6 linked regions of the Macaca fascicularis genome follow. The protein of the gene in region 3 purifies or fractionates together with the protein of the main gene of each other region. This does not show direct contact. Links are inferred from orthologs where the notes say so. Each region holds a gene or a part of one and is shown on either strand. Other genes may lie near its edges. The genes, in order: FLNB, VCP, ISG15, HERC5, ENO1 and HSPB1.

The links.
Region 1: the proteins of ISG15 (region 3) and FLNB purify together in Homo sapiens (affinity purification with mass spectrometry; 3 studies listed by BioGRID and IntAct, with this or other methods). This does not show direct contact. The link is inferred for Macaca fascicularis from reciprocal best matches to the Homo sapiens genes ISG15 and FLNB.
Region 2: the proteins of ISG15 (region 3) and VCP purify together in Homo sapiens (affinity purification with mass spectrometry, with the first as the bait; 3 studies listed by BioGRID). This does not show direct contact. The link is inferred for Macaca fascicularis from reciprocal best matches to the Homo sapiens genes ISG15 and VCP.
Region 4: the proteins of ISG15 (region 3) and HERC5 purify together in Homo sapiens (affinity purification with western blotting; 3 studies listed by BioGRID, with this or other methods). This does not show direct contact. The link is inferred for Macaca fascicularis from reciprocal best matches to the Homo sapiens genes ISG15 and HERC5.
Region 5: the proteins of ISG15 (region 3) and ENO1 purify together in Homo sapiens (affinity purification with mass spectrometry; 4 studies listed by BioGRID, with this or other methods). This does not show direct contact. The link is inferred for Macaca fascicularis from reciprocal best matches to the Homo sapiens genes ISG15 and ENO1.
Region 6: the proteins of ISG15 (region 3) and HSPB1 purify together in Homo sapiens (affinity purification with mass spectrometry; 3 studies listed by BioGRID, with this or other methods). This does not show direct contact. The link is inferred for Macaca fascicularis from reciprocal best matches to the Homo sapiens genes ISG15 and HSPB1.

What each region holds. Positions count from the first base shown.
Region 1 is NC_088376.1:121,080,937-121,084,995, forward strand, and holds the start of FLNB (filamin-B), read left to right. Parts: upstream 1-1,259; 5' UTR 1,260-1,402; coding exon 1,403-1,694; intron 1,695-4,059. UniProt on the Homo sapiens protein: Connects cell membrane constituents to the actin cytoskeleton. May promote orthogonal branching of actin filaments and links actin filaments to membrane glycoproteins. Anchors various transmembrane proteins to the actin cytoskeleton.
Region 2 is NC_088389.1:64,363,425-64,366,924, reverse strand, and holds part of VCP (transitional endoplasmic reticulum ATPase), read right to left. Parts: intron 2,252-3,500; coding exon 2,140-2,251; intron 1,943-2,139; coding exon 1,770-1,942; intron 699-1,769; coding exon 556-698; intron 1-555. UniProt on the Homo sapiens protein: Necessary for the fragmentation of Golgi stacks during mitosis and for their reassembly after mitosis. Involved in the formation of the transitional endoplasmic reticulum (tER).
Region 3 is NC_088375.1:233,759,445-233,762,219, reverse strand, and holds ISG15 (ubiquitin-like protein ISG15), read left to right. Parts: upstream 1-1,130; 5' UTR 1,131-1,200; coding exon 1,201-1,203; intron 1,204-1,286; exon of another isoform or gene 1,287-1,301; coding exon of another isoform or gene 1,302-1,304; intron 1,305-1,721; coding exon 1,722-2,216; 3' UTR 2,217-2,275; downstream 2,276-2,775.
Region 4 is NC_088379.1:94,019,177-94,022,676, forward strand, and holds part of HERC5 (E3 ISG15--protein ligase HERC5), read left to right. Parts: intron 1-781; coding exon 782-841; intron 842-2,755; coding exon 2,756-2,849; intron 2,850-3,500.
Region 5 is NC_088375.1:225,981,552-225,985,533, forward strand, and holds the start of ENO1 (alpha-enolase), read left to right. Parts: upstream 1-1,182; 5' UTR 1,183-1,417; intron 1,418-1,774; exon of another isoform or gene 1,775-1,894; intron 1,895-3,982. UniProt on the Homo sapiens protein: Glycolytic enzyme the catalyzes the conversion of 2-phosphoglycerate to phosphoenolpyruvate. In addition to glycolysis, involved in various processes such as growth control, hypoxia tolerance and allergic responses.
Region 6 is NC_088377.1:51,430,815-51,434,197, reverse strand, and holds HSPB1 (heat shock protein beta-1), read left to right. Parts: upstream 1-1,280; 5' UTR 1,281-1,320; coding exon 1,321-1,684; intron 1,685-2,388; coding exon 2,389-2,452; intron 2,453-2,570; coding exon 2,571-2,760; 3' UTR 2,761-2,883; downstream 2,884-3,383. UniProt on the Homo sapiens protein: Small heat shock protein which functions as a molecular chaperone probably maintaining denatured proteins in a folding-competent state. Plays a role in stress resistance and actin organization.

The sequences.
Region 1 (4,059 bases), on a different chromosome or scaffold from region 3:
GAATCACTTGAACCCAGGAGGAGGTTGCACTGAGTCGAGATTGCACCACTGGACTCCAGTCTGGGCAACAGAGCGAGACTCCGTCGCAGAAAAAAAAATAAAAGAGGAAGATACACCTATGGAGAGAGGACTGTGTGAGAGACTCTACCTGACATAGCGGGCTTTCTTTTCTTTTCTTTTTTTTTTTTTTTTTGAGACGGAGTTTTGCTCTGTCACCCAGGCTGGAGTGCAATGGCATCATCTCAGCTCACTGCAACCTCCGCCTCCTAGGTTCAAGCGATTCTCCTATCTCAGCCTTCCCAGTAGTTGGGATTACAGGTACGTGCCACCACACCTGGCTAATTTTTGTATTTTAAGTAGAGATGGGGTTTTACCATGCTGGCCAGGTTGGTTTCCAACTCCTGACCTCAGGTGATCCACCTACCTTGGCCTCCCAAAGTGCTGGGATTACAGGCGTGAGCCGCTGTGCCCAGCCCATTGCAGGCTTTCACAGAGAAAAGGGGCAGGAGTCAGGCACGCAGGCAGCTTCTGGAAGTTAGAAAAGGCAAGGAAACAGATTCTTCCCTACAGCCTCCAGAAGGGAATGCATCTTGCCAATTTAGCTAAGCGAGACCCATGTGGGCCATCGAACCTACAGAACTTAACAATAATACATTTGTGCATGTGTGTTTTCAAAGACACTAAGTTTTGGTAACTTGTTACAGCAGTAACTGGAACCTAAGACAGGTAGCAAGCCTTATTGTTCATTTTTACCACACTACTGGGCTGTTGGTGATGGTGGATTTACACTTTTCTCTCCCATTAGGCTGTGAACTCCTTGAAGTTGTGCAATACGTTTGTCTGATTTACTACTGGTTGGCAGGCTCTGAGAAGAATGCCTGGTACACAAGTGGAGCTCAATAAAAGCCCTCACTGAATTTTATTGAATGTATATGTGGATGTAGACCTCCGCTCTGCGCGCCCCTCCCGCAAGTCCCACTGCTGCCCGACCCATTCTGTCCGGCTCCCAGTCCCCGCGAGTCCCCCCACCCCAGGGCTGACGGGGTGATTTAGGCAGCCCTACGTCCTGCTGGGGTGGTGGGCTTCGAGCGCGGGTCCCAGGACGCCGTGAGGCGCAGTGCCTGCAGCAGGCGGCAGGGGGCGAGCGTGGCCCAGGAAATCCCGCGGGAGGGTCGGTACGGGGCGGGGCTTAGGGGCGGGGCGGCTCAGCGCGCAGGCGCGGGGCCAGGCGCCTCGCGCGGCCAGAGGCGGGCGGCCGCAGAGCAGCACCGGCCGTGGCTCCGGTAGCAGCAAGTTCGAACCCCGCTCCCGCTCCGCTTCGGTTCTCGCCACTTCGGCCCTTGGGCCTCCAAACACCAGTCCCCGGCAGCTCGTTGCGCATTGCGTTCTCCCCGCCACCAGGATGCCGGTAACCGAGAAGGATCTGGCGGAGGACGCGCCTTGGAAGAAGATACAGCAGAACACTTTCACACGCTGGTGCAATGAGCACCTCAAGTGCGTGAACAAACGCATCGGCAACCTGCAGACCGACCTGAGCGACGGGCTGCGGCTCATCGCGCTGCTCGAGGTGCTCAGCCAGAAGCGCATGTACCGCAAGTACCATCAGCGGCCCACCTTTCGCCAGATGCAGCTCGAGAATGTGTCCGTGGCGCTCGAGTTCCTGGACCGTGAGAGCATCAAGCTCGTGTCCATCGGTGAGTTCTCTGGCCAGGCCCAGGCGCCGACTGTGGTGCCGACCCGCCCCCGCGCGTGCACCCCTGCGGAGGGCGAGGACTTCCCGCAGCGCACCCCCACCTGGGAGTCGTCCCCGGGGGTGGGATATAGGGGGCCTAGACCCCCCTCCCCGGTGCCCTCCTCTGGGCTGGGACCTGTTGGGATCGCTCCCCGCCGTGCGCCCCAGCAGTGCACCTTTGGCTGGCTAAGGGTTGAGGGTTTGGACTGGGGTCACAGGAGGAGAGGTGGAGTTGTGGCATTTCTCTGCACCTGGGGCGCCCCTATGGGAGCTAGGGGACTAGAAACCCTCGTTCGCCATCCCCGGGGGCGGGGCCCTAGAGTCAGATGCTCTCCGGAGCGCTCGCCCGGCTGCGCCCAGGTTGGTGCTCTCTGCGGCAGCTGAATGGGCGTTGGCTCGGAGGCCGGGCCATGAGACCTGGGGAGGAACCGTTCTCTGCGCCTGGGGCCTCCCCGCCCAGGTGGAGACAGAGACTTGGTACCTTCCCCTGCTGTCGCTGGAATGGGTGTGGGCCCCGAGGTTGCCAGGGGAGGCGCGGGTGTGTGTCCTGGCTCCGTCTGCTCCCAGCTCAGCTCTGGCCGCGCCGCAGGTTGAACCCACTCCTTGCTGCCGAAGTTACAATGTAGGGATGGTGGTGGTAACAGTAATTGCTGTCTTGTAGGGAGCCCAACTAGCGTCCTCTGTGTACTGTCAGCCTTCTAAGTTATCTCCGTCCCTACACATCCTGCGAGCTGGGGTGAGGCTAGACCCGTTTTAGAGATAAGAGGGTCCAGAGGGTTAGTTGACTTGTCCAAGGTCAGCAAGTAGGGCCCAGCTGAGAATTGAAGGAAGTGGGCGACAGTTAGAAGAAGGCTTTGTTTTCCTCTCCCCTCCCAAACCCACACCAGGGTCTTCCTGAAAGGAGGGAGGGAATTGGTGTCTCTTGCTGGACTGGGCCCCCTGGACTGGGGAGGAAGAATAAGGATGAAGTCTCCCTTGTGGTCTGAGATAGTTGGGCGCTTCCAGGAGGGCCACAAGGCGGCTGAGAGTGTGGGCCGTGACAGTAGGGGCAAGGAGTTTGTAGTATGTGTGTGTGCATGTGGACATGTGTGCAGAGAATGTGTGTACACACATAGCATGTATGTATAGCATGTGCATATGCAAAGAGAGTTTGTGTGTACACGGAATGGGTGTGCAGAGTATGTTTGTATGCAGAGAATGTGTATCCGCCTGTGTGTGTGTGTGTGTGTGTGTGTGTGTGTGTGTGTGGGTGGGTGGGTTTGGGCGGGAGAGGGTCCTGGGTCTGGATCTCTTCCTAAGGAGAACCAGGGACTGGCCCTGGCTTGTGACTTGGGTCTTTTCCTGAGGAAAGCAGGTCACTATAGTGACCCTAGTGACAGGAAGAAAGGGAGATGGGTGTGGCTGCCAGGACTTTCTCCAGTGGAAAAGGGATTCCCTCTAGGCTGAGCCTCCCCTAGGCCTCAGGGCCTCACCCTTCCCTTCCCCCACACCTGTCCTGGCAGGTAGGGCTGCTTCCTGCTTCCTGGGCAGCCGCACCACCCAGCCCAGCGGCACCACCCAGCCGATCTCCAGCAGCCCTCCCCCTCCCCAAGGGTGGCTTCCAGGCAGAAAAACCCACATGCCATGCCGTTGTCTTCTTCCTGGGGTCCATCTCCTGTACTGGGGAGGGATAACCTCAGAATCTTCTGGAATTCTTTACCATTCAGAAACCAGCCTCCCCTCTGAAGAATCGCAAGGCCCAGCTGGGCCCAACTTGGATCTGTTCTTTGTTTTAAAAATGTGTATTTATTTAATTAACTGAATAAAGAAACTTAAAGTAAACCAGAAGTATCCAGATATGACATGAAATCTCTAAAACAACAACCAAACCAAACCAAACCGCAGCACTAGCAAATCACAGACTGCCTGATCTACCAACTGTTTACAAAGGCAGCAGCTACTTCCAGCACTGTCTGTCATCAGTGCCTGGGGCTGTGGGTCTCATTCTAGATTTTGTCTGGTCGCTTACATTTTTTTACTTGGTTCTCCTGATTCCCTGCTCCCCCTACTCCCTACCACCCCGCCCCAAGATGGAGCCTTGCTCTGTCTCCAGGCTGGAGTACAATGGTGCCATCTCCGCTCACTGCAACCTCCACCTCCCGGGTTCAAGCGATTCTTCTGCCTCAGCCTCCTGAGTAACTGGAAATACAGGCACGCGCCACCACACCCGGCTAATTTTTATATTCTTAGGAGAGATGGGGTTTCAGCATGGTGGCCGGACTGGTCTCGAACTCTTGACCTCATGACCCACCCGCCTCGGCCTCCCAAGTGCTGGGGTTACAGGTATG
Region 2 (3,500 bases), on a different chromosome or scaffold from region 3:
GACTCTGTCTCAAATAAAAAAAAAAGAAAAGAAAATGAGACTAGGCATGACGGCTCATGCCTGTAATCCCAGCACTTTGGGAGGCCATGGCAGGTGGGTCACTTGAGCCCAGCAGTTTGAGACCAGCGTGGGCATCATAGTGAGACCCCATTTCTTTTTTTTTTTTGAGACAGAGTCTTGCTCTGTCACCCAGGCTGGAGTACAGTGGCCTGGTCTTGGCTCACTGCAACCTCCACCTCTTGGGTTCAAGCAATTCTTGTGCCTCAGCCCCTCAGGTCGTTGGGATTACAGGTGCCCACAATGCGGTTTTGCCATGTTGGCCAGGCTGGTCTCGAACTCCTGGCCTCAAGTGATCCACCCGCCTCAGCCTCCCAAATCGCTGGGGTTATAGGTGTGAGCCACGGTGCCCAGCTGACCCCATCTCTTAAAAAATAAATAAATAAATACAGGAGAAAAGCATAAAAGATTAAAAAAAAAAGAAAGAAAACGAGACGAAGATGTTCCAAGGTTTATTAACTACAGTCAATAATCCTTAAACTCAGAATTAGCTCTCACCTTTCCGGATGGGTCGATAAGCTTCCAGGAAGTACGGCTTAAGGTATACCTCAAAGAGATTACCAGTAATGCCTTCCACCGTGTCATCAATGGGCAGCACGTGGATACGTTTGCCGTACTTCACATCAGGGCATGGCTGGATGCTGAGGATGACAAGCAGACTCCATATTACCAACCACACTTCGGGCCCAAGCACTGGGTGTCCAAAAGGGCCTGGCACAGATAGCTGATAGTAAGTGAAAAAGAAAAGGCAGGATGGCTTTAGGTGAAGAGAGGAAGGAGAACACCGTGGAAGTGAGGGCAAAGGAACAGCCCCACTCACTTCTAATCAGTGAGCCAAAATCAAGAGCCACACATTTAGAAACCCCACAAAGATATGCAAGGTCTTCAGTGAGATATCCAAGGATGATCCCCTTCTAGCTAATATTGGTGACCCAATATTACAAGGGAAGGTCTTAAGCTAACAACTGTCAGGGTCAGTGAAACAGAAGTGAAAAAAACAAAATTATCTCAGCCAGGTGTTCAGAACACCTTGAGGAAGTGACTAAGCACCCCCAAGAAGAAAGCTACATGAAACTTAGACTCCATCAAAAAGAATCAAAAGCCTGAGATGATCCTGGCCAGGTGATGGTTGGTTGGGTAAGAGTGGCTAGAGATGACTCCAAGATGGGGCAACCTCTTGCCTAAAATTATGCAAGAACAAGCAAAATCACTCACATTGAGAACTATCCTGGGTCTGGCTCCAACTATTCCTCTCTCCCGGGTTCACTTAGGGGCTTAAAAGGCCTGCTAGCAGCTCACCTTCCATGTCCATATCCCCACCTCATTCCAACCCCAACGCAAGCCATTAATTGGACATACTAGTGAGAGTAGTGAGGAGGTTATTTGGCAGATACATACACACCCTCGAGTGGTATCCTAAGCTAGGCTATAAGTATGATAAATTACACTTCTAGTAGGAAAAAATAAAGGCACCAAGAAAGTTACAGGAATGCCAATTTGTCTCAAGCGACCTGCAGAAATGGATTTTGAAGTCCCAGGAAGGCAGAACCAAAACCTAAAGACAATCCTGAAGCATAAGTCTTCCCATGACCAGCAGGCTTCCTGCATCGACAGGTTCCAAGAACTTGGTCCTGCCTGTAATACATGGGTACTGCCTGTAATGCAGGCTATCTCTGGCCTCCCATCCCTGTGGAGCCAAAAACCCCACACACCTGATGACATCCCCTAGGCGTACACGAAGGTTATTCCGAACAACTCTATTCATCCGAATCTTCTCATCAGAACAAGTGTCATCAGAAAGGACGATGCAAACAGCTTCTCGTCTCTTCTTTCCTTTCAGCAACACTGTGTCACCTCGGAACAACTGCAATTCATCCATCTTGGGCTGAGGAAAGAAAGTTAAGGCCTTTGGGTCACTGGGCAGAAGGGGAGTAAGCAACAGCCCTCGAGATTGGGATTCCCAGTAAACCCCACTCTATCTGCAGTCTGCAAATAGAAATATCTGCAAAATGAGAAAAGAAACCTGGGCAAATCCCTCAAGTAAGTGCAGTAAGGAAAGACTAGTTTGTGGCCCCAGCTTACCTGGGACAAGGACACCACACTGTTGTCCTCATTGATGGCTTCATCAACAATTAACCGATTGGGACGGTTCTTCTGTTTGAGAATGGCTGTTGATAGGTCATCACCTTTTGAACTAGAAGCAGGAAATGGAGTCAGTCCCAGTAGATACTCCCGCCCCAAGGGCCTCACCAGTCTCTAAAACTCATACTTAGGAAACAAACAGTGAATAGATGAAGCTGTCCCTAGACCAGAGAGCGCGGATGAAGGAAAGGCAGCCAAGGTCACGAGGAGCAGTATCTAGCATACATATTACAATACCCATTCCGGCAGCTCCTGGTATTTTGAGCATCAGTGTCCCAGCTATAAGGCTCCAAGTGAGTGATCCTGCCCCAAGAAGACATAATAGAAATGGAGACTGAAGAGTTATTAGAGAAATAAAAATAGTCTTAGACTTATAGAAGAGTGGTTAAGAGCAGGAACTCTATAATAGTCAGACCCATTGGGTCTGAATTCCAATTCTGCCACTACTTAACTGTGATCTTGGGCAAGTTACCTAACCTCTGAACTTTGATGTCTTCCTCTATAAGAGAGAGACTATAATACTTACCTCAGAGGCTTATTGTCTTAAGGGAGATAATGAATGTAAAATGCTTAACATAATAGCTGGCACATGGTAATAACAGTCACCATGATTAACAGTATAAAGCATAAGCTAACTTTCCAGGGAATGAAGTAAGCCAGACAATTTCCCTTGAGGCTCAGGGAGCTCTCAAGTCCTACCAAGCAAGCCTGGGGACAATGAAGCAGAATTATTGGTGCTACCCTCCTTATAGGCTAAACCTACTGATGCCAGGGCATTCCATAGTACCAAAGGAATGCCAAGCATAAAAATCATCATATGGTTTCCATCATATTTGGAAACAACACTAACAGACATGAAACTGCCAGAAAGAGGCTCAAGGTCAAAAGGAACTTCACAGTAATTTCTGCAAAAGCACACAATTCCATAAAGTTGGCTCAAAAAACCAAAACCAAGAAATGCTGAAACACTGTGCAAATACAAATCCCTCTCATCCAAATCAAAGTTGACTGGGTCTATACTCAGTTTGTTATTTCCTACAAGACAGGGTCATTCACCAGACAGTGACACCAACTTATTACCTAGCCCATCTCCAGCTGTCACTTAGTAGACTCAAGTTCTCTCTCTCTCTCTTTTTTTTTTTTTTCTTGAGATGGAGTTTCGCTCTTGTTGTACAGGCTGGAATGCAATGAAGGGATCTCAGCTAACTGCAACCTCTGCTCCGCCTCCCAGGTTCAAGTGATTCTCCCGCCTCAGCCTTCCCAGTAGCTGGGATTACAGGCATGAGCCACCACGCCCAGCT
Region 3 (2,775 bases):
CTCAGTAGTGTCCCAGAGTTCATTTTTGTAGAAAATACAAGATAGGTCTCTTTTATTAAAAAACAGTCTGAGGCCCAGGCGCAGTGGCTCACACCTGTAATCCCAGCACTTGCAGAGGCCGAGGCAGGTGGATCACTTGAGCCCAGGAGTTCGAGACCAGCCTGGGCAACATGGGGAGACCCCCATCTCTACTAAAAATACAAAAAAGTAGCCGGACCCCTGTGGTCCCAGCTACGTGGGAGGCTGACGTAAGGGGATCCCTTTAGCCAGGGAGGTGGAGGCTGCGGTGAGCTGAGATTGCACCTCTGCACTCCAGCCTGGGCGACAGAGTGAGACCCTGTCTCAAAAAAACAAAAACAACAAAAAACACCAAACCTGGGCAAATACTGCCCTAAACCAAGTGTTGTCATCTCTGGGGAGTTTGGAGGTTTTGTTTCTGAATTAACCATAGAGGTGTTTTCCATGTTTACTGTTTGCAAGTTGGTAAATGGAAAATGAAACCATTCGTTCATGTGAAGGCTTTAGCGCATTTTTTTTTTTTTTAACAGTTTCACTCTTGTTGCCCAGGCTGGAGCGCAATGGCGCGATCTCGGCTCACCGCAACCTCCACCTCCCAGGTTCAAGCGATTCTCCTGCCTCAACCTTCCCAAGTGGCTGGGATTACAGGCATGCGCCACCAAACCTGGCTAATTTTGTATTTTTAGTAGAAACGGGGTTTCTCTGTGTGGGTCAGGCTGCTCTCAAACTCCCGACCTCAGGTGATCCGCCCACCTCGGCCTCCCAAAGTGCTGGGATTACAGGAGTGAGCCACGGCATTCAACCAGCTTTAGTGCATCTTGTGAAGGACCTGGAATGCTCGATATTTAGGTGTTTCCAGGGTGTTGGGTGGGGGTGGGGATGCCGTCCGCCGTCCTGAGTCCCCGGCCCTGACAGTGCCTTTGAGACCCTGCCCACCCCCTTCTGCTTTTCCCCGTCTTTCGGCCATTCTGTTTTGTTTCTTCTGCTCACTCTGGGGCATGCCTGGGGAAAAGGAAACCGAAACTTGGCCACCGGAGCAGGCTCGCGCGGCAACGCCCCCTGACGTGTGTGGCTCAGGCTTATAACAGGGCTGGCTGCTGCCTGCAGGAGCCGGCAGTTGAGAGGCAGTGAACTCATCTTTGCCAGTACAGGAGCTCGTGCCGCGTCCCACAGCCCACAGCCATGGTAAGGGAGATGTCACAGGTGTGTGTGTGTTGGGTGGGGGGGGCCTCTGTGCCAGTCAATTTTTGTCTCCCCCAACCCGTGGCCCACAGCCCACAGCCATGGTAAGGGAGATGTCACAGGTGGGGGCTCGGGGGGGGGGGGCAGGCCTCTGTGCCAGTCAATTTTCAGCTCCCTCCCCCAGCCAAGGTCTCCCAGGGTTGCAGGGAGAGCAGAGCTGCTTAGAGCTCGGCCAGGTTCTAAGTGTGCTCCTGAAAGCAGGTCACCCCTGAGATCCTCAGGGTGGGCACAGAGGGGCACCCTAGCAGGTAAAGGGAGGCCACGGATGGCTGTGGGCAGCTGGCCTTCTAGTAATGACCCCTCAGTGCCTTCTGTGCCTGGGGTCCCTGCTGATGGGATGTAGAGGACAAACAGGAGGAAGCACTGTCCCTGGGCACAGGAGCTCGCCCAGCAGCCAGGGCCTTGTGTGTCGTGGGCCTGGGACTGGTGCGGCAGCCTCTGAGCCTGTGTAATGTCTGCAGAGCTGGGACCTGAAGGTGAAGATGCTGGGGGGCAACGAGTTCCAGGTGTCCCTGAGCAACTCCATGTCGGTGTCAGAGCTGAAGGCAAAGATCGCCCAGAAGATCGGCGTGCACGCCTTCCAGCAGCGTCTGGCTGTCCACCCCAGCGGCGCCACCCTGCAGGACAGGGTTCCCCTTGCCAACCAGGGCCTGGGCCCCGGCAGCACGGTCCTGCTGGTGGTGGACAAGTGCGATGAACCTCTGAGCATCCTGGTGAGGAACGACAAGGGCCGGAGCAGCACCTACGAGGTACAGCTGACGCAGACTGTGGCCCACCTGAAGCAGCAAGTGAGCCGGCAGGAGGGTGTGCAGGACGACCTGTTCTGGCTGACCTTCGAGGGGAAGCCCCTGGAGAATCAGCTCCCGCTGGGGGAGTACGGCCTCAAGCCCCTGAGCACCGTGTTCATGAATCTGCGCCTGCGGGGAGGCGGCACAGAGCCTGGCGGGCAGAGCTAAGGGCCTCCACCAGCATTCGAGCAAGATCAAGGGCTGGAAATAAATGTTGTAAAGAGAAATGGCTGCCTCTGTGTCTGCACATGACCCTCCTCCAGCGTCCGCCTCAGACCCCTAGTGAAGTGGCGGGAGGAGTCAGGAGGGAGATCCCAGGGTCCATCCTGGTGACCAGGCCTGGTTGCCAAGTGAAAGGATAAGGGTTTGCAGTTACAGCCTCGAGGGATCAAAATACGGAGCTTCCTCCCTACCAAACTGAAGTAAGACAGCTCTCCCCACCCTTTGGGAAATTAACTTCTAGGGAAAGAAAAAGAGACACAGTTGCTGGAGCCCATCCTGCCCATCCTCCATCTGGGACAGCAGACAGCTTAGGCAGGGACCAGCCTGCTCAAATCAAAAGGCTACGGGGGAGGCTCCCAGTGGGCCCCTGGAAGCGGTGAGGGGTGAGTCCTTGGGGCCTGCCCAGTGGGCTGTGAGGCAGGCTCTCCATAGGAACTGGGGGCTGGGGGCCTCAGCTGTCCCTAGCCCAGCCTGCACAGCCTGCTCCACCTGCCTGGGCTGGGCG
Region 4 (3,500 bases), on a different chromosome or scaffold from region 3:
AACTATCACAACTAGCATGTAAGCTCCATGAGGACAGCTTTCTTTACTGCAGGGCTTCTCCAGGCCTCTGTTTATGTATATTGTGACTCTCTGGCCAGAAAATACAGTCTATAGTGTTCCCCAGTCCCATTCGATACTGGAACCATTAGTTTGTGTTCCTGTTATTCTTAGCCAAACAATTTGTACCATTCTTCTCTAAACCATAGAACTCCTACAGTCTTATAGAACTCCTGCCTATTCTTACAAACATCATCTTTTAGAAATATTTTAAAGTATGACTTTCTAATTCTGGAAAATGATTGTACAAAATGGTTGCACAAAATAATTGCATCATAATTTGCAAGCATAAATAATTAAGAACTGTACAACTACTGCTAAGATGAAACTCAGCATACTTCTTCCCCCATTTAATTTCTGGTAATTTATTTTGTTTCTACTTCAATGGAATAGAAATAAATAGGACTTGCATAGTTGGTGGGGTAGGAGTATTTTGTTTGTTCAAGAAAGTTCTGACCATAAATCAAGCCTTTCCTCTTTATTTGAGGCTTCTCTTAGTATGTATAAACTTTTTTATTTCCCATGTTTGCCACTGAAATTTTGAGATTTACCAAACAGAATGGACTTTTGGAAGCCAAGATAATATGCGTACAGATAGGAGACAAATGGAGAGGTTAGAAGGATTGTTATAAGATGTTGTATTTATCATGTTTCATGCTATAAAGAGGCTGTGTGTATGTATACCATGTGATTTGGTTTAACCAGTGTCTTATTACTAATACAGGGAAATCCAAGAGATATTTTCATCTCCTGCTTGTCTAACTGGAAGTTTTTTAAGGAAAAGGTAATATATGTAATAAATTAATTGTATTAAATTGTATTAAGAGTACCATGAAAGAGGATAAAAAATGATTGGAGGGTAAAATAATTAGCTGTGTGTTCGTCCCTTTCTAAAAATTGTTTTTTAACAAAAGTAAATATATGCTTGCTGTAGAAAATGTCAAAAATACATACAATAAAAAGAAAGTGAAAATCTTCCATAATCCATCACATAAGAGTAATAGCTAGCACTTATGTATATTATTTTTTCATGCAAATGTATTCTTTTACAAAAAATGAGATCATACTGGTTTTTTGTTTTTGTTTTTTGAGACAGGGTGTTACCCTGTCGTTGCCCATGCTGGAATGCAGTTGTGTGATCTTGGCTCATTGTAACCTTCGCCTCCCAGGCTGTAGCAATCCTCCCACCTCAGCCTGAGTAGCTGGGGCTTCAGACATATGGCACTACACACAGCTAATTTTTTTATTTTTTTGTAGAGCCAGAGTTTTACCATGTTGGCCAGGCTGGTTTCGAACTCCTGAACTCAGGCAATTTACCAGCCTTGGCCTCCCCAAGTGCTGGGATTTCAGGCGTAAGCCACCATGCCCAGCTGGATCACATTGTTTATACGTTGTTTTATACTTAATGTTTGCCCATTTTACATTTTGTTCTATCTTTTTTGGTATACATATATGTGTGTGTGTGTGTGTGTGTGTGTGTATATATATATATATATATGTATTTTTTTTTTTTTTGAGACAAGGTCTCCTGGAGTTACAGCATCATGGTTCTTGGGCTTAAGCATCATCAAACTCTTGGGCTCAAGCAATACTCCCACCTTAGCCTTCCACGTAGCTGGGACTACAGGCATGTGCCACCATCTCCTGCTAATTTTTTAACTTTTGTAAAGACAGCAGCTTTGCTATGTTGCCCAGGCTGGTCTTGAACTCCTGGCCTCAAGCAGTCCTCCCACCTCAGCCTCCCAGTGTTGAGATTATAGGTGTGAGCTACCACACGCAGCCGGTAACATAATTTTAATGGCCTCATGACCTTCCATTAGAAGGTCTTCCATGAGAAGATACTTAAACATTTCATTAATGACTTTATATTGAAGTACTAAGAAATTATTGGTCAGAAGCTCCCTCTTTTGGTTCCCACTTTTCAGTCCATTTAACTGGAAAAAATGGATGTATTTTTTAGAAATGGGAAAAACCTTTATCTTTTTTCTGTGGAGCTCCTTCCTTCCTTCCGTCCTTTCGTCCTTCCTTCCTTCCGTCCTTCCTTCCTGTGGTTGGTCCTTCCTTCCTGTGGTTGGTCCTTCCTTCGTTCCTTCGAAAAACATTTATCTTTTTTCTATGGCCCACCCTTCGTCCCTCCCTCCCTTCCTTCCCTCCCTCCCTTCCTTCCTTCCTTCCTTCCTTCCTTCCTTCCTTCCTTCCTTCCTTCCTTCCTTCCTTCCTTCCTTTCCTTCCTTTCCTTCCTTTCCTTCCTTTCCTTCCTTTCCTTCCTTTCCTTCCTTTCCTTCCTTTCCTTCCTTTCCTTCCTTTCTGAGGCAGGGTCTCGCTCTGTCACCCAGGCTGGAGTACAGTGGCATGTTCACAACTCACTGCAGCCTTGACCTCTCAAGCTCGAGCAATTCTCCTGTCTCAGCCTCCCTCTGTGGCTATTTTTTTTAAACTGAGAAATATTTATTTTTTTTAATCTATTACAGATAAGACAGCATCTGAGTTAAAGTCTTATGGTATATATAGTTAAAGCAGCCTTGATATTTTTTGGTATTTTAGAAAAAATCATGTTGTTTACTACATTGCATTTGTATTTAGACAATTATAGTTATACATGAGAAAAAATGTAATTTTGTTGAAATGGGGCAAGCTCTGGAAGAAACTTTGCATCTAGAGAGATAATCTAACAAGATACTTAATTTATCTTCTACAGAAGAACTACAGAAATGATGCCTGTTTATTTGGACTTAAATAAAGCAAGAAACATCTTCAAGGAGTTAACCCAAAAGGACTGGATTACTAACATGGTATCTTCAGATTGTTATGTGGAGAAAGAAAATAGACCAGAATATTTCTTATAAGAACTCGAAATTTCAGAAGAAATGTTTTGTGTTAAGGGATTCTCCGAGACCTTGTAGCATATTCAGATTAAGTTAAACTCAGATAACAATTAGGAGTTTGCCCTTTTAGGGTGAAATAATTGGCATAGTAGTCACACAGGTTACAAATATTCTAAATAATGTGTCTGTACACAAACACACATGCACATATATGCATACACATTCCTAGAGGGAGGGAGGTTTTTCAACTCAGGGCTTTAGGAAGATGATTAAGGATTTGTTGAGATTGGCACACTAGAATAAGAACATTTTATGTGCAATCCTTTTAAGCGTAAATGTAGAAATAAGAACATTTTTTCTGATATGAATATCCTTCTCACCAGGGACTGCCTGGATTCTTTGTTTTTTTTTTTCCATTCCACTTTTCTGTAGATTCTAGAATGTTCTTGTTCTTTATGGGATGATTGCTTCCTGTTTCAGCACTGTTAGTACTATCTTTAGGGTTTTTTTCTTGCAGGTGCTCCGAACATGCTTCCTTTATTTTTATTTTTATTTTTTTGGAGATGGAGTCTCGCTCTGTCGCCCACACTGGAGTGCAGTGGCACAATCTCGGCTCAC
Region 5 (3,982 bases), about 7.8 Mb from region 3:
CGAAGTGCCGGCTGAGAATGTGGTGCTGCAGCCTCCAAGAATCTTGCAACAGCAGCAGTCTGGGATCATGTTCTGCCTCTCATTTCCTGCTAGATTTACTGGTTCTGGCCACAGCAGAGTATCTTTATCTCTCTAACCATTTTAATGTAAAATAAGATTGTTTGGAGCCCTTTCAGGGCCACGCCTTAGAACTGCTCTGAAAGTAAGAGTACCAAGTGCCTGATTTCTTAGAGTCCTTAACAGCAGGAGATGTTGGCTGATTTAGCTGCTGAGTCATGGGGCTGGAGATAGTGGTTTTCAGTAGCCAAAAACGTTAGTGTATTGCTGGTGAAATCACAAACTCTGCTTGCAAAATTTTATTATTATTATTATCATTTTGCTGAATTTAATCCTAAAGTTCTTGCTTCTTACCCACTGGAAAGCAAATACTATGTACTTAGTAGGCCTTCACTTTTAACCTACGCCATGGAAACCTGCCAGTAGCTAAGAGGACAAAAACGCTAGGGGTTAAGAAAGAAAAGTAGTTTTTGCAGCGGACCAGAAGAAATAATTAAATTCAAGTACATATTTGAACATCTCTTTGCAAGGAAATGAGGAAAATCAGGAGATGTTTTAGTTCTCTTAGTGACCAGCAATAATGTTGAAAAATATAAAAGTCACCGTAACAGAAAACGAAGTGATCATTTCAGCCCTCCCTTGGAGTCGGGGGGATCTATTGCGGAGCTGAGTTTTAATGGCTATCAGTTCTCGATCAAAAAGGTGAAATCACTCCACCAACTCCTTCCATATTCCATGGAATATGACCCGTCTTGAACTTTGAGAAATTCCCCGGGTCTATGTGAAATTCCAGTTCCAAATAATTTACATGAATGGTTCACAAGAATCCAGGTAGGTTTGATCTAGTTCCCTAGATGGGACTGAGGGGGATGTGAAATTTCAGATGCAACATTAACATGGGCTAGAGAATGAATTAACACTGGGGAAGCAGGTGGTGGCGCGCCAGACACCTAGGAGGCACTCAAGAAAAATGAGGTAGAAATAAAGGAAAGTGAACCTTCCTTTGGCTATTTCGGCCTGATTCTCACCGCAGCAAGGAGAAAGGGACAGGGTCACCTTGGCGGGTGCCAGGCGGAGCCCGGCCGGACGGGCGCGGCTGGGGGGCAGCGCGCAGGCGCAGGCGGCGCACGTGGCCCCGGAGGCGCACCGCTGCGGCCCGGCCCGCGACACAACGCCGGAGTGGGGCCGAGGCGCGTAGCCTCTCAACGACTCGACGCCAACGGGGTCTCCCGGATCGCGGCGCAGGACAAGAGGGGCGGGGCAGGAGGGCCGGGGCAGGCGCGGGCTGCCAAAGTCGTCAGCAAGGTCGAGGGCCGGACGCGCGGCCCCGGAGCGACGCTGAGTGCGTGCGGGACTCGCAGTACGTGACGGAGCCCCGAGCTCTCATGCCCGCCACGCCGCCCCGGGCTCTCACCCGGGGCCCCGGCTCCGCACACCTCAGTTCGGCTTACGGGTCCTATCTGGGGCTAGAGTTTCGCTCGCACCACCACAGGGCCGCTGGGTAGTCGGGGCACCCTAACTCCGCCCGCCTCACGTCCGCGGGTCGTCACCCCCCCTTTCCCGGCTGCAGCCGCCGCAGTCTCACCCCTTTCCGGGAGGTGAGAGCACGAGTGACGGCTTTCCCGACCAATGGCGAGGCGGCCCTGAGGAGGCGTGTCTGGAAGGCGGGAAGTGGGTGGGGCCCGCCTTAGCTGGGCAGGAAGTCCGAGTGCGGCGCGGACAGTAGGTGTGGGGAGCCGGAGCGCATAGACCTCGCAGACCTCACCGGCTTCACACTCACCTCGGTGTCTGCTGCACCCGCCGCTTCTTCTCCTAGGCCACGAGACCCAGCGGCTAGGTAACGATTAGGGAAGGGCTGAGCAACGGGCAGGCGGCGCAGGGCTTTTCTGGGCTTGCGGGGCTCTTTCCCCTCAGAGGGAGGCTGCGCGCCAACAGGCCCGGCGTGGCGGGGTCGGGGGCGCGTGCGAGCCGACTCCCTGGGTGGGAAGTGGCACCCCCGCTCACCCCGAGGCCCGGGACGGGGGCACAATGCGAGGTGCACGTGCTGGGTCCCGATTTCTTTGGAGGGGAAAGTGCAGATCAACACGTGATTACAGACTGCGGGGCAGGATCACCGTCGGGGAAGGTCGGGAGCTGCACACGCGAGCCGCTTAGCACAGCGGGAGTTGGGAGTGGAAGTTGCTTTTCCATCGTAGCCAAGTGTAAGGTTTTTGGGATGGACGCAGACATAGCGGTGGTGCCCACTGAGGCCAGGCCCTCCCTAAAATGGAGGAGGGCGGCGAGAGAGGAGATGCCCACGAGGCTGCAACCCCCTCCCCCACCGGCAGCCCCCGCCTCTCGCCTGCACTCGCGGCCCGCGCTTCGGCCCAGTAAGCGGTGACTCATTTCGAGAAGGCACCTCTTCTTGAGGAATCTGCCGCAGAGCCGTTAGATCATTGGCAAGCCCTCCAGGCGACCTCGCCCAAGTTGGGCAAGAGCGGCTCCCCGGCTGGCCATCAGACGTCGGGCCCTGATCTGAGAAGGATTTCCTTTTTTTTTTTTTGCTCTTGTTTCCCAGGCTGGAGTGCAATGGCCTGATCTCCTCGGCTCACTGCAACCTCCGCCTCCTGGGTTCAAGCGATTCGCCTACCTCAGCCTCCCGAGTAGCTGGGATTACAGGCATACGCCACCACGCCCGGCTAATTTTGTGTGTGTGTGTGTGTGTGTGTGTGTGTGTGTGTGTATATATATTTTTTTTTTTTTTTAATTAGAGGCGGTGTTTCACCATGTTGGTCAGGCTGGTCTTCAACTCCCGACCTCAGGTGATCCGCCCGCTTCGGCCTCCCAAAGTGCTGGGATTACAGGCGTGAGCCACCGCACCCGGCCAAGAAGGATTTTTTTTTTTTTTTTTTTTTTTGAAACGGAGTCTCGCTCTTGCTCTGTCGCCCAGGCTGGAGTGCAGTGGCCGGATCTCAGCTCACTGCAAGCTCCGCCTCCCGGGTTCACGCCATTCTCCTGCCTCAGCCTCCGGAGTAGCTGGGACTACAGGCGCCCGCCACTTCGCCCGGCTAGTTTTTTGTATTTTTTAGTAGAGACGGGGTTTCACCGTGTTAGCCAGGATGGTCTCCATCTCCTGACCTCGTGATCCACCCGTCTTGGCCTCCCCCGGCTAGTTTTTCGTATTTTTTAGTAGAGACGGGGTTTCACCGTGTTAACCAGGATGGTCTCGATCTCCTGACCTCGCGATCCGCCCGTCTCGGCCTCCCAAAGTGCTGGGATTACAGGCTTGAGCCACCGCGCCTGGCCAACTTAAATATGTTTAAACAAATTTGCCTTTTTGGAACCTAATAGATAAAAACTAAGTACCTTTTTCTTGGCTAATGAATAAAACTCCATTGTTACGTAGACAACAAAGCCACAGAAGTGACTTCAGTAAATAATTTTGCAAGTTAAAAATCTGCCCAAACTTAGATGTCTTATTGGCTGCTCCTGGTGGCTCACCCCTATAATCATCCTAGCATGCTTTGGGAGGCCAAGGCAGGGGAGGATCACTTGAACCCAGGAGTTTGACACCAACCTGGGCAACATAGTGAGACCCCCATCTCTTAAAAAAGTAATTAAAATAAAGATGTTGTCATTAATGACATAACAATACTGAAGTCCGGAGTACTGTGAAATTGGAAAGTCCCAGGAAGTGGCGGTAGCCAAGATCTCATGGTCCAAGGACTTTATTATTCCTGACTTCCAAACTCAGAATTTCTGATTATTAAATACCTACTAAGTGAATATTGTGCTGCTACTTCAAATTTAATCAGAAGAATTATGTCCAAACTTAATTCGCTATTTTGTTTTAATTCTGCTACAAGCCAGATTTTCCCCTCATCCCCCCACCCTCTTTTTGGCCTCGCCCTAGGTGGTTTTGCTTGTGACCTTCATGTCTGTTCTT
Region 6 (3,383 bases), on a different chromosome or scaffold from region 3:
AGAATCTAACTTGCACAAGTTCATCTGCTTAGTGACAGAACCAAGATGTGAATTCAGGCAGTCTGGCTTCAAAGTCCACACTCCTAACAACCGTACCAGATTACCAGATTGTTTTTTTTTTTTTTTTTTGAGATGGAGTCTCGCTCTGCCGCCCAGGCTGGAGTGCAGTGGTGAGATCTCAGTTCACCGCAACCTCTGCCTTCGGGGTTCAAGCAATTCTCCTGCCTCAGCCTCCCCAGCAGCTGCGATTACAGGCGCCCGCCACCACACCCAGCTAATTTTTGTAATTTTAGTAGAGATGAGGTTTCACCATGTTGGCCAGGCTGGTCCCAAACTCCTGACCTCTGGTGATCCTCCCACCTCAGCCTCCCAAAGTGCTGGGATTACAGGGGTGAGCCACCACACCCAGCCCAGACTGCTTTATCTTTGTATTTGTATTTATTCATTTACTTATTTTGAGACAGGGTTTTGCTCTGCAGCCCATGCTGAAGTGCAGTGGTGCAATCCAGGTTCACCAAAGCCTCTACTCACCAGCGTTCAAAGGAGCTCACCAGCGTTCAAAGGAGCCTGCTGCCTCAGCCTCCAGAGTAGCTGAGGCCACAGGCGTGCACACCATGCCCAGCTAATTTTAAAAAAAATTTTGGTAGAGGTAGGGTCTCACTATGTTGCCCAGAATGGTCTCAAACTCCTGGCCTCAGGGGACCCTTCTGCCTTGGCCTCCCAAAGTGCTGAGATTACAGGCATGAGCCACGCACCCGGCCCCTTTTTAAAAATTTTTTTAACAGGTCCTTGCTCTGTTGCCTAGGCTAGAGTGCAGTGGTAAGATCATAACGCACTGCAGCCTCGAACTCCTGGGCTCAAGCACCAGCCTGCTTTATATCACATTCCATCTCACACGCTTGTGATTCCAATCCTGCCGCTGCCACTTCTCAGTTGTATGCCCCAACCCAACCTGCCTGGCTCTGTCCTCCTTAACAAAAGAACGGCCCTGGCCACGGGTCACAGTCGGCAGCTCTTAAGCACCAGGGCCGGCGAGTGCCCTGCCGTGGCACGGCTCCAGCTTCGAGCTCTCGAACTCATTTGTTTTCCTTAACGAGAGAAGGTTCCAGATGAGGGCAGAACCCTCTTCGCCCCGCCCACGGCCCCTGAACGCTAGGGGAGGAGTGCATGGGGAGGGGCGGCCCTCAAACGGGTCATTGCCATTAATAGAGACCTCAAACACCGCCTGCTAAAAATACCCGACTGGAACCGCATAAAAGCGCAGCCGGGCCCAGCGCCCCGCACTTCTCCGAGCAGACGTCCAGAGCAGAGTCAGCCAGCATGACCGAGCGCCGCGTCCCCTTCTCGCTCCTGCGGGGCCCCAGCTGGGATCCCTTCCGCGACTGGTACCCGCACAGCCGCCTCTTCGACCAGGCCTTCGGGCTGCCCCGGCTGCCCGAGGAGTGGTCGCAGTGGTTGGGCGGCAGCAGCTGGCCAGGCTACGTGCGCCCCCTGCCCCCCGCCGCGATCGAGAGCCCCGCGGTGGCCGCGCCCGCCTACAGCCGCGCGCTCAGCCGGCAGCTCAGCAGCGGGGTCTCGGAGATCCGGCACACGGCGGACCGCTGGCGCGTGTCCCTGGATGTCAACCACTTCGCCCCGGACGAGCTAACGGTTAAGACCAAGGATGGCGTGGTGGAGATCACCGGTGAGTCCCCCTGGTCCTGCAGAGGAGGGGAGGAGGCTAGCGGGGCGGGCAGGGCCGGGGGAGGGGTGCGGTTGAAACGGGGGTCCCGGGGGCCTGGGGAGTTAAATGTTAGCCCAGCACCGGGAAAAACAGGATCCCTGATTCCTCTGCTCAGGAATTGGGAGTGCAGGTCGCTTCTAAGGGCGCTTTGTGCTCTGTAATCCCAGCGCTTTGGAAGGCCGAGACGGGAGGATGGCTTGAGGCCAGGAGTTCAAGACTAGCCCGGGCAACATAGCGAGACGCCCCCCAACACTACAAAAAAATTAAAAAGCAACCAAAAAAATTTTTTAAAAGACCATCAATGAAGAGAGAAAATGCACCTTTCCACAGAGCCCCCTCCCCACCCACAACCCCATCCCCAGATAAGCGGGTTCCCTGTTTCTAGCCGCGGAGAGGGCGTGCGTGCGGCTCCAAGTGCGCCTGGGCACTGCTCACTCCCCAGCTCGGCGCCCTGCTCCATTCCTCCCAAAACTCTGAATCGAGGAACTTTCCGGAAGTTTCTGAGAACCCGGACAGGCGGGCACGCCCCCACCCCCAACCCCCTCCGTTAATCCCTGCCGGCCTGCAGTCCTAGCTGCTTCCAAGCAGGAGGTGGGGCCTCTGGCCTGGCGGGGCCGAGAGGCGGTCCCCTCCCCCATAGTCTGATTTCCCTCTTTCCCCAAAAGGCAAGCACGAGGAGCGGCAGGACGAGCATGGCTACATCTCCCGGTGCTTCACGCGGAAATACACGTGAGTCCTGGCGCCAGATCGGGGTGGGTGGGGGGCGGGGGGCGGGGGTCAGGGAGGAGGGCACAGGGACCCACCCAGTGTGTAATGTAACGCTCGCCTTCTCTCTCTGCACGTCCAGGCTGCCCCCCGGTGTGGACCCCACCCAGGTCTCCTCCTCCCTGTCCCCTGAGGGCACACTGACCGTGGAAGCCCCCATGCCCAAGCTAGCCACACAGTCCAACGAGATCACCATCCCGGTCACTTTCGAGTCGCGGGCCCAGCTTGGGGGCCCAGAAGCTGCAAAATCTGACGAGACTGCCGCCAAGTAAAGCCTTAGCCCGGATGCCCACCCCTGCTGCCGCCACTGGCTGCGCCCCCCCACCCTCAACCTGTGTGTTCTTTTGATACGTTTATCTTGTTTTTCTCAAATAAAGTTCCAAGTAACCCACCTGTCACTGGCTCAGACCCTGGTATTTGTGGAAGGAAGCCTCAGGCACCTGCCATTTGCTGGCTTCCACAAGTCACCTTTACTCAGGGTGTACTGTGTGCCCAGCCCCGTGCTGGGCCATGTTGGTACACTGATGTAGGTTGCTGGACACGGGCTGACTCACATAAAGAGAGGTCGTAGGGCCGGGCGCAGTGGCTCATACCTGTAATCCCAGCCCTTTGGGGGGTTGAGGCAGGAGAAGTGCTTGAAGTCAAGAATTCTAGACCAGTCTGGACAATGTAGTGAGACTCTGTCTCTAAAAAATAAAAATTAGCCAGGGTGTTACTGCATGCCTGTAGTCCCAGCTACTCAGGAGGCTGAGGCAGGAGGATCGCTTGAGCCCAGGAGTTGAAGGGTGCAGTGAGCTAAGATCGTGCCATTGCACTCCAGCCTGGACAACAGAGCAAGATCCTGTTTCAAAAAAACAAAACAATCAAAAGCTCAGAAAGAGTGAGACCCTGTCTT